Arabidopsis thaliana: one gene and its partners. The protein of the gene in region 2 interacts with the protein of the main gene of each other region in a pairwise test. Each region holds a gene or a part of one and is shown on either strand. Other genes may lie near its edges.

Region 1 (7,036 bases), on a different chromosome or scaffold from region 2:
TGATGTAGATGAGACTTCTTCAAGGAGCAAAGAAGTTTTTGTAGGGAGAAGGAAGAAGAATGAGGGGAGTGAAGCGGTTGTGGATAAGGATTACATGAGGTACCTCACATGGCTTGTAGATTCTCTTAGCGATTCGACAACTGAGCCAATGGAAAATCTTCAGAAAGATGATATGGATACTCTAAAAGAATCGACAATGGTACCTGAATTGGATCCACTAGTAGAAGTGAAGGTTGAACCACATGATGATTGGTCTGATTATATAATTGCGATGGGTGATTCCCCTTTTTTGGATGGAGAGGAGTGTACACCGTTTGTGGCGTCCAAGAAAGTGGTTGATCTTGATGAAGGAAGCAAAGAGAATGAAAGTAGTAGCAGTTGGTTTAGAAAGGAGCTAATGGATGTTTTGAAAAATCCATATGATGAAGGAGAGATGAAGCAGCTCCATCGTTACGTATCAATCCATAAAAAAATGACTCGATGCAGAGAACTACGAAAGGGAAGAGGATCTGATTATGAGACTGACGAACTGGGACAATCTTATCTAGAAAGTTTCCCTGATTTCGAAAAAGAATACAAGCTTGTGGTTGGTGTTGATAAGGCAAGAGCTTTGAAGTTGCTGCGTGGCTTTTTCTTTTACTTGAAATATGTTTCTCATGATGGTGTTTTCAAGCCTTGGGAGAAGACTCAAAGTTGGCAACCTTAGAAATGGTAAAGCTTTTGGCTTCATGTAGATTAAGTTTTTGGATTTCTGTCTGTTTTTTTTTTTTTCTTTGTTGTTGGATGGCAATCTGATCCAGTGTAGTTTCTTGTAACCAAAGAATCTGGTTTTATTTAGGTTTTTCCTGAAAACTGATGCAATGTCTCAAGACTTTCTGATCTCATATAACAAAAATTGAAGGAATCAGATGAGTGAAGGCATTACAATATTCAGTTTAAACGTTGTATCAAAAAATCTGAAACAGCCTTTGAAGGTCATAACAATCAGACATTGTCAAGTTGTCGAAACTAACAGAGAACAAGATGTGTAACCAAAATCAGCATCACCTTCCTTTATATTTACATGGCTAATATATGTTCGAGAAGTACATGTTAGGACCATGAAGCTATGAGTCATGTTGAGTCACCTATTCCCTTATGAACCAGCATATCATATACTCTGTCTACTTTACTCGGCTCTACTTTGAAGAAGCTATAAGCATCAGACTTTTTCTTTATCTGCCCCTTCTTTATTTCTCTTGTTAAGATATCCAACATCTTCAAATAGTGTACAGGCAGTATTCTGGTCTCATTGCACATCTTCTTTTCCTGCACAAAAAACAGCTTCAATCTCTCAAACCATAGGAATAATGTCAACAAATCAACAAAATCACAAATAAGATGACAAACATCAAGTTTGAAAATTATTGTTCTTACGGTCTCTGAGAGTAAGTCAGCTCCAAGGAGACCATCAACATCCCAAGTGTCCAAACCGCTGTATATTCTTGGAGGTGTGACCTTTGGCAGTGAGTCAGAACCAAAGGGATGCAAATTTCTGGGTAACCCTCTTGGACTTTTTAGTGTTTTACCGGCTATACTGCCTGGTGCACCGTGGTTAAGCCGCAGCAGCATACTTTCTTCAGCTTCCTTCTTTCTCTTCTCTTCTATAAATCTATTTGCGTCTGAAGTTGTCCTGCAACCAGCAGTTCTAGCTTCCTGCAACATTTATTAAAAGCTCAACTTAATGTTCCCACCTAATTGAGTTTGTAATCCAGTACTCAAGCTTGGTAAAATTTTAAGCATCAAACCTGAAGATCCTCGATTCTTCTGAGAATTTGGTGCTCTTCAATGACTTTCTTAATCAGTTCCTTGTGCTCTTCTTTGGATTGGAACCGCGCAAACACTTTACAGCTTTTATATATTTTTCTCTCCTCTGCTGAAAGGCTCATCTCATATTGATCAGGGTACAACAAGTTTCTTTCCAGAACAAATTCCTTCCTCCGCTTCCTCTCATCAAGCCTGCCAACAAAGGCACAATCTTGGCTTGTAGCATTGGCTTATGAAAAAATTCTCCGGTTTAAAAATGGTTGTTCCTGTGATAAGTGTACCTTTTCGAGTAAATACGAAGAACCTGCAGTTTCTGCTCACGCTCAGCATCTGTGTCAGAATCCTTAAATTCCATGTCAGCAAGCAGTTGCTCAGCATCGTTGTCATGTTCGATCTCAAATTCTTCCCTCTTTAGATTGTAACCATATAACTCTGTTACTAATGGAACTTTCTCTCCAGGAAGTCTGAGTTTCTTCTCCCCGACACTCCTGTCAGATTGTTGTTTTGCAGCTAAGACACAAGGGCCGTTAACTACCTTTAGTTTTTGTTCGCGTAAATATCACTTTGCATAAAAACTTGTTCCAGTATATAACAAACCTTCCAACTTGATGATGTCCTTAGCCTGCGGTACATTGCCTTTCTTCTTGACTGTACAATAAAAAGTATTACTTTACATATGGAATCATGGAAGAGATAATATTTGGGGTCGTAGTACGAAATGCGGATGATTTGCGTCCTTAGCCATAAATCTAAGTGCAAATAATGTCTACAATTTTATATAGATAAAAGCATTTTCACATACCTCCAGCTAAGGCAGACAAAGGTGGATCTATTTCATTGACCTTCCCTGAAGCTTCGTGTCTGCCCATGGAAACATAATAGTACTTTTAAAAAGGTGCATTCAACATTGTAAACGTAGGTAAACTATTGTTACAAGCATAAGTATATACTTGATTTCAGCTGACACAGGTAACTCTTCTTTTGGAGATAGCCTCACAAATGCAGGTATTTCTGTGACAAATAGTAAACAGAGCTCAGCATCCTCCTTTTTTCAGTCAAGGTTAATATACGAGTCCCAAATCAACAAGAAACCCCGCTAATAGATTTTAAAGCTGACCTGTTTTGACTGCACTATCTTTACTCATAGCAAGCAGCTCATCTTTGCTCTTTCCAATAGTATGGGACAAGTCCTACAGAGCGGGGAGCTAGAGTAAATAAACAAGCTAGGTTCAACTATCTGACGATCATGTGTTTTCATCAGTCCTTACCGGAAGTGGAAAGCATGGTGACTGCATGTAAGCAGAATTGAAGTGTTTAATACATTCTGTCGTTGTCTTACTACCAACATGGTCTGCAACTTCTTTCCAATTGCCAAACCCGTATGTCGCAATGGCCTAACACAGTCAATTTACTTCCCAATAGTCAGATGGAATCTCTATATAGACATGGGAGTGTACAATCAGAAACGATTAATGATTACCTCAAGAAGGAGTATCTCTTCATCGGCATTCCAATCAGAAGTAACAAGCGAAAAAGACAAATTGTCCTGTCAAACAAAAGGGTAGATTCAATACAAACAAAAATACAACCATAGAACATTTTCTTTGTTTTAAACACAATCACTAATCTAATTACTTTTCAGCTGACAAAGCGTTGAATTGAATTCAAATATACTGCTCGGCGTTGGAAACTAACCATAACACGATATGGGTGACTGTTCTTGTGACGATTAAGTTCAACGCCGACAGAAAAGCATTCCACACAAAGATCAAAGTCCATACAAACAGCACATTTGAAACGAACCAAACCAGACAGATCTTTATCGCAATAGTTACAACAGTAAAGGCCAGGTTTCCTCTCATTCCCAGCTTCAATTCCTACAATGTATTGGTACATGTAAGAACTTTTGGAAAACGCAGCTTGGTACATGATACATCAATGCATATCTATCCACAGCAGAAACTTTAGTCCTATCAGTATCACACCTAATTGCACAAGTAAACGGAAACCTACCGGTGGAAATTGATGCCGCAGCATTCTCAGGACCCAATGATATCTTTTTCCTTTTTGATTTTCTGAAACAGCCAAAATCATCAAAATTAGGATAAAGACAAGAGACGACAGCAGTATGAAATCAAGAGCCACCCACAAGTACCAAAAGAACTCCGATTCAGATAATCAAACACAGCTAAGTGGATTACCAGATATTGAAATGTTTTCGCAAAGACAAGTAAGTAATTGAACAGAGAAAACCCTAGAAGACTTCGAGCTAAGATGGACAAAGAACGAAACTTTAAACGAACCCTGGATTCAGGTCTTCCTCAGCAGGACGAGAAGCTAGTTTCGAACGACCCATCGGCACCAAGCTCGCACTTCTTCCCGGCAGATTGAAGAAAAAACCAGAAGAGCGAGAAAACGCTAAAAAGCAGTGAAAAAATGGTAAGTCGGTAAATGACTAAATTACCCTTAACAAGTGTCAATAATTATGTTCACGCCATCTTTAAACCCTACGGCAGTTGTCAGTGGTCACGTCTCTCTCTTAACCTAACCAATCCAAAGTTGCCGCTAGGGTCACCGGAAAACTTCAGAGTTGTGTCTTCTATTGAATTCTCCGGGAAGGTAAAGAAGATTAGTGGGTTTTGATTGTGCTGTATAAAGATGTGTACTTTGTTTGAGCTGTCTCTTAAACCCTAGCACCAATCCGTGAACCTTGAAGTTTGTCATTCCGGTAGAAATTCCTCAGCAGTTGATCTAATTCGTTCTCTGTGTAGTATTAGTGATGGGGCTTTCTCTTGGGGAACAACATTTCATTAAAGGTGGGATTGCTCAAGATCTTCGAACTGATGGTCGGAAAAGATTGACTTACCGTCCTATCTACGTCGAAACCGGTGTTATTCCGCAGGTAGTGTAATCTCCTAGAGCTCGTCCGCTTCTCATTGTTGCTTCCCAGTTGTTTAACAGATATGTTCTTTCTCTTGTTTTTGTTGGCTCTAGGCTAATGGTTCAGCGAGAGTTAGAATTGGTGGAACCGATGTGATTGCTAGTGTAAAGGTACTTCCTTTGTTCTCTCTGCTACTGTTCTATTGTTGAATGGGAAGTGCTATTGTAGATGTTACCCAGTAATCTTGTGTAATTGCAGGCTGAAATTGGGAGGCCAAGTTCACTTCAACCCGATAAAGGAAAGGTTGCAGTTTTCATTGATTGCAGTCCAACAGCTGAACCGACATTTGGGGTGAGCTTTTCTTTTATTTCGTTTGGTTTTGGTTCTATCTAGCACTTGTCACACCCGTTCTATCGTTCTATTGGTGTTTCTCTTACTAGTGGAATTGTTCAACATGAGATTTTGGTTATCATTACTTTTCTTCAGAATCTCCTAAATTCTACTGTGTTAAGTCTTTAGGCGGCTAATTCTTTGTGATATGTTGTTACTTAGGGGAGAGGAGGTGAGGAATTGTCTTCTGAGCTTGCTTTGGCTCTTCAAAGATGTCTTCTGGGTGGCAAAAGTGGAGCAGGTCTGCAATCATGTTTATGCAATGCTTTTTTTTACCTGCACACTGTTACGCTTTCTGTTTGTAACGTTTATAGCAATTCATGTTTTGGTACCAGGAGCTGGAATAAATTTATCTTCGCTTTTAATCAAAGAAGGAAAAGTTTGCTGGGACCTTTATATTGATGGTCTTGTCATTAGTTCGGATGGGAATCTATTGGATGCCCTGGGTGCTGCCATTAAGGTAATTCTTGTGATGTGTGTTTGGTTTTCTCTCTTAACCCTTAGTCTCAGGTTTTAGTTACGAATGTTAGTGAGTAAATCATACCCATCAATCAGAATCATGAGAAAGGAAAGGCCAGAGAATATAGGAAACGAAAGGGAATGGGTCTTTAGTTAAGTGTATATAGATTAGCTCAATGTAGTTGTCTTGTTATTGGTTTTAGTAGCTTTACGATATGTTTCCAATTGATAGTTTAAGCAACCCAAAAGTCATCTTTCCTCAAGGCTGATCACATGCTTTAATGCACTTGTTGACTATACTCCTGCAGGCTGCTTTAACCAACACGGCCATCCCAAAAGTCAATGTTTCAGCTGAAGTAGCAGATGATGAGCAACCAGAGATTGACATCAGCGACGAGGAATATCTTCAATTTGACACTTCCAGTGTCCCGGTCATAGTCACGTTAACAAAAGTAATCGAATCTCACTTTTCTTGATTCACATCGACATCTTCTTATGTACATTTCGCTAATCTTTTACCATGCTGTCCTTGGTTTTTGCAGGTGGGAACGCATTACATAGTTGATGCAACAGCAGAAGAGGAGTCTCAGATGAGCTCAGCTGTATCTATATCTGTGAATCGGACAGGCCATATATGTGGGTTAACCAAACGAAGCGGGTCTGGCTTAGACCCAAGCGTCATCCTTGACATGATCTCTGTTGCCAAGCATGTGACAGAGACTCTGATGAGCAAACTTGATTCAGAGATTTCAGCCGCAGAGGCCTGCGAAGACGAATCTTGACTCTTGAGTCTCAGAGAATCAAAGTTTCAAGATGAAACATGTTAGCAAGGGATCAACAATATTTGTATCTGTGGAAAATCTTATACGAAGTCAGAACAGATTAAGCTAATCAAAATCCTTTTTCCTATGTTCTAATGTTCCATGCTTTGTGATAGTAAAGGTGATATTTTTGCCATTATAGTATTAGTAACATTATATCTCATCTAGGGATTATTAAAAGAGGCGTTCCTTGGATCTCTGTGTTTAAAGTGAAAGACATAACAAGTTACAAAAGGATTTGTGATATTTTGGGAGGAGGAAATGAGAATGGAGATGAGGTCAGCAAATGAAATTAAGTGGACTTGGAAAAAAGAGAAGATTGGTGGTCCATGATTAAGCTCAAAGGTCAAAAGAGTGTGTGAGCAGTGTTGGTCACGTGTATCTCAGCTTCGGGTTTGGTAAAAATGGCTTTGAAACATTCAATTGTTTTCTGTAAAACTCCCAAATCCGATACTATTCACATTTGTTTCCTCCTTCATTTCATAACAAGCAAGCTGGCAGAGAAAATTTGGTAGTCATCTATTATGTCATAGAATTATGATATGGTACATACTACAAAACAACAAAAGGAGGGAGCAAATAGAAAGCGTTAAATGGCAAAACTCAACGAATTTACGTATATTCCGATGAACTAACTAACAATGATATTGATAACTGTTTTTGCGAATCAACTAACATC
Region 2 (5,515 bases):
GAAATTAAATTCAAATTCGATATGACGAATTATCAAATGCATTATAAATACATGTAGTGGGTCCAAAAACGGTCAAATCGGTTTTCTTCTGAATTTTGGAGAGCTCCGTAACTTCGAAATACGTACTGTCTCCTTTATGTCTATTTCACATGCAAATCATGGTCTCCTTCTAACGTTACTTCTTTGACGTTTTTTTGTACTTTTCTGTGTTTTTTTTGGGGGGTTCACATGTAAAATTCAAGAACATTTTCCCACTCTAAATTATTTAAGTTTCGAATTATAATTATTTCATTTAGTCATAAACTATTTTTTTGCCAACGAAAAAGTGGTAAATATTGAAGGTCCTTGTATTCGAACTGGTGACCTCACAGAGTTGGTCACACGGCTCTATACAATTGAGCTGACGCGGCGTATTAGTAATACGTGTTTTTTAAAATGAACGGATATATTAGTGTGAACGCGTTATAACACGGTTTCATGTTTTCGGTATTTTTATCTGTTGGTAGCTGTCTTGCAAGAGAAGAAAAGAATAAAAATAACAAATTCTTTCTTTACAATTTACTTATGAACAAAATAAGTTTTATATATCACACAAATAACGCGGTGAAGTAATGTGGGACAAATGTGAATTGAAAGTTTTGGAATAAAGACTTTTGTTTAATTCTTGTTTATCGCCTGATTAATCGTTATGAAATATTCTTATTAACAGAATAAAGTAGCTAAAAGTATTCAACCAATTTGGTTTTGGACACCTATAACTATGAACAATATAATTCAAACTAGCATATCTAATTAATATCTATACAATTGTTTTATGCATGTACGTAAACTATTAAATGATTTATTAATTCTTATTCTTATCGTTTAGTTAATTCACATGTTACCTTATATTATATTTAGTAATTGCCTGCTCGTTTTACTCCCTCTCTATTTATTTTTCTTCCTCTAATATTGAAGGTTTATTTTTCTCCACCAGGATTTTTTTTGTTTTTAGAAGGATAAATTCATTTTCATACCACGATAACATATATCAAAATTTGAACATTTATCTTTCTTTTTGGAAATTTCAATAGTTCATATAAATATTATAAAACAAACATTAATTTAGATATATTATCTAAATTGATTTGCCTAACAAATTAACTAGCTAATTAACTTATGCTTAACACAAATAATGAGAACTTAGAAACCTTGATTATGATGATCATCATTATGATCTCTATTAAGCCTATTAAGCAAAGCATCGATGAGAGAATCTCTCTTCTGAGCCCTAGCTTCTTCTCTCAACCGTCTCTCTTCCTCTCTCTCCATCCACCTCCTTTCTGTGGCGGCTCTTTCCTCCTCTAGCTCCGCCATTCTCCTCCGCCACTCTTTCTCTCTCTTCTCCCTCTCTATCTCCTTCATCTCCCATGCATCTCTCCATTCCTTTTCCATCTTCACCGTTTGCCTCATAAACTCCTCCAATATATCTTTTAGTGTATTACCCGCAGTTTCAGCTTTCGTACCACTCGCAACGCCTTTTCCTTTTTTTGCACGTTTTCTTGGATTGGTCGAAGTACTAGTAGTAATCACTTCTGTCTCTCTTTTCTGTGTCTCTACTAAAGACAATAATTCCTCGTTGATATCTTGATTTGGTTCGTCAACTTCTTCTTCTTCATCATCAGATGAAAATTGATGATGTTTTCTCTTCGAGGAAGTGCTTGGTTCTGTGGCTTCTGACCACAGCATTCTTTGCATTCTTGCTTCAAAAATCGACTGAATCTCATTGTAGAATGGGAACTGCTGCCTAATAGCATCTGGCTCAGTGGTCTCACACGCCTGTCCCATGAATATTCATTATGTTATATAAACAATTATATGTAAACACGTAATAGTACCGACGCAAAATATTTTAGCTAACCAAGTATCTTAACTCGAAATCATATATCATAGGAAAACAAAAACACATGTTCATCATCTATATCACGTTTCTTTTACCTTAAATAAATGTGTGTATAGACTTTTTCAACTATCTTCATGTGTTCATCAGTAACGGTTCTTATTAAATCTTATGCACCCGTTATATAACGGTAATTATATTTTTATGGCATATTGTGTTACTTACTTACCATGTGATCAACGAACAAAAAGAGAGATATTATGGTATAACGGATCAAAATGTGAACATAGACAATATCATGATGAAAGCTCACCAATAAACGCGTAAAATTCTATTCTATAGCTCGTTACCATTAATGACAGGACAATATCTAAAAAACCTAGGCGATTAGGTTAAGCTCATTAATTGATGTATATATAATGTAGTTCACCTATACATACACCATAAACTAGGTTTCCATTTCAATATGCATAATATCAGTCTAACCACACAAACTAGTGATGAAATACATGATACACATAATTATAGTTTGTATATACTTGTAATCATGATCATACTAAACATTTATAGGTGTATATATCGGGACTATATATAGAGAGAATCATCAATAGGATTCTAAAGAGTTGAAGGGTAACCTTGTATCTAGTGACGAGGTTCTTCCACTTGCTCTTACATTGTTCTGCGCTTCGGACAAAACCCTTGTCGGCCATCTTAGCAGCCACGACTTCCCAAAGAAGCTTATTACGTTTGGTCTCCATGAAAGTTTGATCAAGTTCTTCTCTTATAGCCAAAAGCTCCTTTGTCTCCTCTATGCTCCACTGTGGGATTCTCTCCCCACCTCCTCCTCCTCCGCCGGGATCCATCGTCGCCGTGGTGCTCAGCGGCGGCGGAGGAAGCTGTTGCTGTTGGATCAAGTGATGATGAAGCTGATGGTGGTGGTGGTGATGTTGGAAAGGGTTACGTCGGTCCATTATTTGGAATCGAATTGTCTTTGTGACGTGAAGAGAAGAAATAAGAGGGAGATAATTTTATTTTTTTGTTGGGTTACTTATAAATGAAGAGAGGTTTCATTGAAAAAAAGAAGAGAAGACAGAGAGGAAGGAGAGAAAAGAGAAGAATCTAATTAATTTATAAGGATGTGTGAAAAGAAGGTGTGAAATCGTAGAGGGACGATAGAAGTGTAGTTTTTTGTTCTTTTCTCTAATTAAAATTATTAAGATGAGATTTTTTAATAATTATTGAATATACTAGAACTTATAGAATTATTTAGTTGAATAAAATACGAACACGAATGACTCTTTTGGTGAAAAGGACACAATTCGTGATTACATTAAAAATAATAAAGCTTAGATATCCCTTTTTCGGATGATAAACTCTAGATTTAAAGCAGCTAACTAAATAATTCATACTTTTTTTTTCTTCGTATTCTAGAGTTTAAAAATAGCAATCTCAAACAATTACAGGGGTAACTTGCATCAGTTAAGAATATCTTAAGTAAAAACAATCGCCTTAATCTTAGAGTAAAATCAAACAATATGTTTTTTTTTGACAGATTGATTATTTGTGTGCATCATTCTAAACACGCTTTCAAATTTGTAAAGTTGTAGAACTATATTTTTACTGTATGGTTATTGTTTTTCCTTGATGATGATTTTGTGACCAAGCTCAAGTACTCAACTGTCTCGTATTTTTTGCATTTGGTAGTTATTCGTTAATAATTTGTCCCAATACATATAAATGTTGCGTTAATATTTCGTCACGCTTACGAGTTACGAGTCACAATCCGATTTTTATTCTTCAATCCGATTTAGCCTTTATGGTCAATTGACCCACTAGATTTTCCTCATCCCATAATTCTTGTATTTTTCTTTTGAAAAATTCATCGTAACAAAAGTAACCTAATGGTTGACAGACAAAATATATTAAATAAGCTATTGGATCAATATGCTTTTAGAAGTTTAGATTAGCCCCGTGTCATGGAGGAAGAGATCAGATATAAACAAAGAATTAGAGAATTGTTGTTAGCAAGTTTTACATAATAGATACCTAACGTTCCTATCAAAATAAAAAAGAAGAAGAATTAAGTTACAGAAAACAAGACTACCGTTATGATTAGCTAAGAAATTAATTTGATTGGAATTGTAAATTCCCCCAAGAAAAAAAGAAGACTATTCATTTATGGATTGTATGATATTTAGTATATGAATAAATGGAAATCGTTATATTCGCAGTCGGCACAAAACAAATAATGCGTACGAACAGAGAAAATGTACTCTTGTTCTGAAATGGTTTGGATCCAGTGCAATATACAACTGTCAGATTCCCAAACACACATATGGTAGTACATATTTAGAAGCCGCGTCATTGCAATGATATAACAAGTAAAACGTACGGTGAATGAAACTTGTAGGAGTAAATATTTTTTATTTGTATCTAAAGAAAGATTCGTCGGGGTTGTATTTTTGGCTCTGATATGTGTAAGAAATACTAGTACTACTCAGTAGTAAAAAAAAAAACAAAAAAAAGTCAGCGAAGTGGTCCAAATAGCGATGAAGCGTGTTGAAAGTAAATCAAAATCTTACATGACATGCACTAGACTTCGCTCCCACCTGTCATCCCACGTGGATTCACACCTTATTTATTTATACTAAATTAATAATAATGTCGACTACTCTAGTGAATGATCTTTAATTTTTCTAATTCTTATGTTCAAAATTTGTGGTCTTTAATTATTTAAAAGAGAAATTGTGAATGAAGGAATTTTCTGTGAACAAAAGAAAGAATAATCAGTATTTTTTAATTTTATTTAAATGGAATCAAATAATCAGCAACGCGGAGTGTTGTTATATTCCACGTGTAAACGCCCACCATGTTTGTCCACGTGGCCATCTCTCTCTCTGTCTTTCACTTTTTATTTTAACAAAGATTTTTGTTGGCTGATGTTTATCCGCTCAATACAAGTAGGCCACCTCATCATCCTTTTTATTTCCCATCCAAATTTTTGCTTAAAAGAATTGAAGTCTTAAAGCAAAGAACAAAAAAAAAACGTCAGCCAAAAGCATATATACAAAAATCAGCCTATTCGTGTTATTTAGAACTTTTGAGGTGAATGTTGTTTAGGGTATCGCTCCGGATTATTCGGAAATAGTAATAAGTTTAGTCTTTTACTTTTGCCGTAACTTGGTGAATGCACATGACTTCCATTTTTGAATTTGGAGTCACTGCAACAATACATTGTTGTTACAAATACCAAAAACCTTTCTCACTGTTTGTAATACTGCTGGTTTTGAACCAAGACCATGAAAATGATATTTCAGTTGATTGCAGAAACTCTTCTTGTTCTTGAAAACATTCAAATATTTGACTAAACTAAACTCGATCTGTGTTTATTTTTTTGAATCTATAAATCATACTAACTTTATGAATGAATATTACTAATTCGTACATGTGGAGATATGCAAGTAATTTGCCTAACCAGAACAATCAAAGAGGAACATACATTAGTCTGTTTTTTCTTCTTCTTATTATTTGACAAGTAACAACAATTATTCCATGTCAACATCAGCACGTGAGGGTTGAAAAGATTTTAGTGAAGGAATTAAACGGGACAAGGTCAAGAAGATTGAAGAATGTGAG
Region 3 (5,562 bases), on a different chromosome or scaffold from region 2:
GTATGTTTTAATCATTTTATCATTTGGTTCATTTGGTTTTGGGAGCGGATTAAAACGTAGAAACTACGGTTTCACAAACAACTTATTTAATTTTAAGTAAAGAGAAAATAACTCCTTTTCTTGAAATCTTGATAAAAAAAACAATCAATTGCAATGGTTTATGTTCCTTGAATAAGAAGTTAGAGTTTGTTCAAAAACAAACAAAACCTAAGGCAAACCTTTGTTCGGTTCTCGATCAGTCGATTTATATGAATGGATTTCTATTCAACATATGTTCTCTTTTCTTATTTTTCGGCCTTGAATCTCTTATTTTTCTATTTTTTCGGGTCCTCAAGATTATCCACCTAGATGTGTCTCACTCTTTTCATTTCCCTATTGCAGGTCAACGACGTTTTATTTAAGCTTTTTCCCATAGACCGATTACCCATTTATCAGAATTACTTGGATTAATGGAATTATTCTCGATTTAAGTCGAATTTTTCGAAGGGTGCTACATATCTCATCAACAAACAATACAAATCAAAGGAAGGAAGAAGAGCTAAAGAGCTAAAAAAAAGATGAGGAGGAGATCGAAGTAAACAAATTGGAAGAAAAAGAGATCCAACAATGATTGGTTGTGAACATGTTATGCTAGTTTATTTCAAATTTTGAAACCCTAAACCTCAAACCATCAGTAATCTGTCATTACCGACATAGTATTACATATGGATCGAAAAATAAACATGTTAAATATGTGTCCTAAAAAAATACATATGAACAGTGGTAGAGGCAAGTGTAGTGGAGGAGGGTCACTGCATATGAATATCGACGATATAGTATGGGCCATAGATAATTGAAGAAATAACCATCTGATCACAGCTTGACACACGAATCAGGTTATCCATCGTGTGATGACATTTTTCAAAAAATATGAATGGTATTACCAGTTTCTTGTTATGCTTTGGGTTCAGTAAAGTTCCACTCATTTTCCAGTATCTGATGAATGATAGAGCAGTCTTTTTAGAACTTTGAGCTTTCATATTCCTTCCGTCCAACAAAGATGAATTTTCTATGGAAAAAAATTGTCCCACAAAGATACAAATTTTGTATTTTTAATATAAATTTTAAAATTGTTTACCTGTTTTATCCTAAGTAAATAAGTAGATAAATATTTTTTATTATTTTTAAAATATATTAAAAGGTTAAAATTGTCAGTATACATTATTTTTTAAAAATGTGAAATTTCTATAAAAAAATCCATCTTCATAGGATAAAGATGTTATTAATTTTAGCTATTAGTCATGATCAACCTACACTGGTACTTCTATATTTCCTCCATGATATCAATTTTTATGTTTTAACCAGTGATATGAACTGTGACTTTCCACCTTCATAACTTTGATATCCATATATATTAGTGTAAGTTTCGTACTGTACATATACTTGCATCATAACTGGATTAGCCGAGACTAAATAATTTTGACTATTCTTCACAGTTCATACTCAAGGTCTCTGTTCTTTGTAATTCTAGACTACATATCAAATAAAAAGATGATGATATATTAGTCAAAACTCAAAAGTAATTAGAAGAAAAAACTTTGTAATTCCGGAATATCATACGTTACTACTTTTCATTAGTAAAATACCCAAATTACTTGGGAAATTGAGGTTCTGCAGTTCCCGATGTACAAGAGAATAACAATACAATACACTGATCTAAAGTGAATGGGACGCTTGACATTGCCAAACCAAACCATGCTTTTGTATCAATATCTAATAAACATATAAGCTTAAATTTATAATGATGTATTATTATCAAAATAAACAATGATAATATAACATTAAGATATTTCTAGCCTTTTCTTTTCCGCATAAAAGTCTGTCCTGGCTCATTATAAACTACCACTAATTTAGGCAAAATCCGTATCTTAACAAAAGTAATAAAAGCAATTTCGAGTATTGGGATTGGAAGATACCTTTTCCCCTTATTCATTCTTCTTCTCATTCTTCTTTTCTCTAAATAAAGTAGTTGAGACTTGAGAGCCACCGAAAAGCATTCGACATCCTATCATTAAAGCTAACTTTTTTCAGTGTTTTATTTCTAAAATAATTTCTTAAAATAAAGAAAGGTGAGAGAGAAATTATGTCCCTATACAACTAGTAGAATGAAAGATTGTCAAGCTTTGGTTTGGGATTTTTCTAATAAATCACATGCATTTGTTAGAATTTGATCCCAAAAAAAAAAAATTCAAACCTTTTTCCTGTAAAAGCAAACCTATTGGCTCGTAGGTCAATGTCAATCTCAATGAATAGTAAAGTCTTTTGATATCACGTATCTATAACATATTATTTTTAGCGTGGTTCATGTCCCTCAACATTCTGCCTAAATTATAGGATCTCAAGACATAGTACTATAGACTACAACTACAAGTAGAGGAAAATTTTATAAGAGAGATAAATTATGCGGTATTCACGCATGACATGCGTAAGCATGAAACTAAAATTTGGTTGATACATTACTATGCCGAATTTAAAGTAGTGCTCCATGCAGACATGAACATATCAGATATCACACGTACGCATGTATTACGTGTATGTAGAGACACACGTACGCATATCTATATTCACACAATGAGATTTCACTTTCTCAAACAAAGATCACTGTCTTCAATTAGTTTCAAATTTGTTCTTTACCTATTGCTTTTACATTTCTGAGTGTATATATTTACAATAAGGACAAGGAGATTTTAAATGATAAAAGTCAACCATATCCCATCATTTGGTCTTTGGTTTCCCGACGTCCCACTTTTGTAAAAATCATCTGTTCATTTTCCATTCTTTTTCTTTTTCCTACCCAACTGGATATCACCAATGATATCATTATACACTAACACTATCATTTCACACTTATCTTCCTCTATATATACATAGCTTAAGTCTTGTAACGAGAAAGGCATGCATAGCATTTGCTAGTTTTAACATATAGCAATGAAGGTTCATGAGTTTTCGAATGGGTTTTCTTCATCGTGGGATCAACATGACTCGACATCATCCCTTAGCCTAAGCTGCAAACGCCTCCGTCCTCTCGCCCCTAAGCTCTCCGGCAGCCCTCCCTCCCCTCCTTCTTCTTCCTCCGGCGTCACTTCAGCCACTTTTGACCTTAAAAACTTCATTAGACCCGATCAAACCGGTCCGACAAAATTTGAACACAAACGAGACCCTCCTCATCAAGTCAGTTCCATTATTGTACTTCGTACATTTTACATCGTTTCTTTCGTTTGAAAAAAGAAGAAGAATTCACTCTAGAAGAATTTTGATAATTGCGGCATACCTAATACTTTGACATTTATAAATTATAACGACTGGAGTGGTTCCTTTTATTATTAATTTTATTTATTTATTTTAATGTATGATTCCTAACAAATGTAATGAAATAATGTGTGGGTTCAGTTGGAGACGCACCCGGGAGGGACAAGGTGGAACCCGACTCAAGAACAGATAGGGATACTTGAGATGTTGTACAAAGGTGGAATGCGTACTCCTAATGCTCAACAGATTGAGCATATCACATTGCAACTCGGTAAGTACGGGAAAATCGAAGGGAAAAATGTGTTCTATTGGTTCCAGAACCACAAAGCCCGCGAGAGACAGAAGCAGAAGAGGAACAACCTCATCAGCCTAAGTTGCCAAAGCAGCTTCACGACCACTGGTGTCTTTAATCCGAGTGTAACTATGAAGACAAGAACATCATCGTCACTAGACATTATGGTAGGAATTTAAGGATTTTGTATAGTTTTGTGGTTTTGATCAACTATATTTAAGGATAATTTTTATGATTGTGTAGAGAGAACCAATGGTGGAGAAGGAGGAGTTAGTGGAAGAGAATGAGTACAAGAGGACATGTAGGAGCTGGGGATTTGAGAACTTGGAGATAGAGAACAGGAGAAACAAAAATAGTAGTACTATGGCAACTACTTTTAATAAAATCATTGACAATGTAACCCTCGAGCTTTTTCCTCTCCATCCTGAAGGGAGATGAAGTCATGAAGGTGAGGCAGAAAATTGTGGAATTCTTATGTAGATCTGGTTTAGGTTCAGAGGAATCAATTGGTATCTAGAAATTCAAAATAAAAATAAAAATAGGAATAAGTCTCTAAAACTACAAAATCTACTTAAGAATTCCCTTATTAATCTGCGAGTTTGATGTATCCTATGTAGATTATTTTTGCGATGTAATCTTAATTATGAATGCTCAGTTTAGCTCATCTTTTTTTCGCGTTTATTCTTGACAAATTCACTAGTGATCAGTTGTACTCTCTTCTGATTTGGCCATCTAAGTATTTCTCTAGATCGTTGGTATGTAGGAATGTTTCATTTAGAGAAATTTCTGAATAAAGACACATTTGATGTTGTTAAAATAATATCTCTGTCTTAATTCCTACGTACGTACAAGAGCAAGAAGTTAAAAGGAAATAATAATAGCATTTCCCGTTGAAAAGGGGGTAGACCTAGTATATTTCTATATAAACAAACATTGAAATCTAAAACTTTTTGTACTGTTATATACTTATATTAAAACTCTTAGTAAAACAGGTGACTCAATAATATTTATATTAATTTTTTATTTTTGATAAATATATACTAAATAAGTTTATGAGATGATAACAAGAAGAATCTTTTCAAGAATTTGATATTTCCAATGGAATGTGTACAAAGACATCAATATATGTAAGCTGTGGTGTGTATGTGGTTAGTTGTTTGTCTGATGCTTTATTGACTCTCGCAAGTGGTTGTTTTGTATTTTGGTTGAAACAAAGAGAGAGTTTTGCTTTTTAGGTTAAAAGTTGAAATGGCATTATATGAGACACACTCACTGAAGTCCATGCACTCGCTTTCCCGCTACATTGCATGCTAGCTAGCTGTTTCTATACATACGCAGATATATGTAGCTCTTCTATATTTTCGCACTTAATTATTGTAAGTGACATTCTTCTTTTCATTTTGGTTATATGCCGATAATTTTGTTTTATTTTCTGATAGCTAACTTCTACTTGGTTGTTAATTATATACCAATTTTCCTTCTTTTTTTCTTTTAAATGTTGATGCAACGTAAAACAAAACTGTATATTTCTACAGTGATTTTAAATAAACGCTAAACTTAAAATAATCTTTTTTGGTAAAGGGTTTAAGATAAATTATAACTTTGTTGGACATCAATTAAACATATATAGAAGTACTCTAAGTTTCTTTATGTTTAGATTATGATTTCTAATTGAAACAAACACATTTCCAGCTAAGTTTATCTTTAATAACCAAACTACCTAATATTTTAAGTCTATCTTTACCGGTAATCATATTCTCAAATGATTATTTGCCATGCATTATGAATTGGTTGCCCGTGGGCGTGGGGCATGGCGTTCCATTACTTATAATCTTGGAGGGAAGCAAGATTGAAATTTAGAAATAAAGAACTTTATTCAATTGGTAATGGGACCATGACTATTTTTTCAATAATTCAATGTTTCTTGGTTTTCACGTGTACATATATATAAGTCCAAAATAATTTCAAACACATAGTATTCA

What was found.
Region 1: the proteins of AT5G01380 (region 2) and ADA2A interact in binary tests that used the Arabidopsis thaliana proteins (3 or more experiments, as listed by UniProt).
Region 3: the proteins of AT5G01380 (region 2) and WOX4 interact in binary tests that used the Arabidopsis thaliana proteins (3 or more experiments, as listed by UniProt).

Annotation. Positions count from the first base shown.
Region 1 is NC_003074.8:2,468,901-2,475,936, forward strand, and holds ADA2A (ADA2 2A), read right to left. Parts: upstream 4,196-7,036; 5' UTR 4,163-4,195; coding exon 4,110-4,162; exon of another isoform or gene 4,008-4,109; intron 3,882-4,007; coding exon 3,820-3,881; intron 3,737-3,819; exon of another isoform or gene 3,736-3,736; coding exon of another isoform or gene 3,684-3,735; coding exon 3,481-3,683; intron 3,353-3,480; coding exon 3,287-3,352; intron 3,201-3,286; coding exon 3,075-3,200; intron 2,997-3,074; coding exon 2,924-2,996; intron 2,818-2,923; coding exon 2,757-2,817; intron 2,668-2,756; coding exon 2,609-2,667; intron 2,455-2,608; coding exon 2,404-2,454; intron 2,317-2,403; coding exon 2,088-2,316; intron 1,999-2,087; coding exon 1,788-1,998; intron 1,696-1,787; coding exon 1,417-1,695; intron 1,309-1,416; coding exon 1,114-1,308; 3' UTR 931-1,113; downstream 1-930. Other genes in the region: AT3G07730 (uncharacterized protein), read left to right, coding at 1-706; AT3G07750 (3'-5'-exoribonuclease family protein), read left to right, coding at 4,586-4,708, 4,801-4,857, 4,946-5,038, 5,240-5,318, 5,413-5,537, 5,845-5,988, 6,079-6,318. UniProt on the Arabidopsis thaliana protein: Required for the function of some acidic activation domains, which activate transcription from a distant site. The exact mechanism of action is not yet known.
Region 2 is NC_003076.8:154,602-160,116, forward strand, and holds AT5G01380 (Homeodomain-like superfamily protein), read right to left. Parts: upstream 3,001-5,515; 5' UTR 2,851-3,000; coding exon 2,515-2,850; intron 1,819-2,514; coding exon 1,183-1,818; 3' UTR 1,009-1,182; downstream 1-1,008. UniProt on the Arabidopsis thaliana protein: Probable transcription factor that binds specifically to the core DNA sequence 5'-GTTAC-3'.
Region 3 is NC_003070.9:17,235,359-17,240,920, reverse strand, and holds WOX4 (WUSCHEL related homeobox 4), read left to right. Parts: upstream 1-2,735; 5' UTR 2,736-2,967; coding exon 2,968-3,210; intron 3,211-3,429; coding exon 3,430-3,747; coding exon of another isoform or gene 3,748-3,759; exon of another isoform or gene 3,760-3,823; coding exon 3,824-4,018; 3' UTR 4,019-4,397; downstream 4,398-5,562. UniProt on the Arabidopsis thaliana protein: Promotes differentiation and/or maintenance of the vascular procambium, the initial cells of the developing vasculature.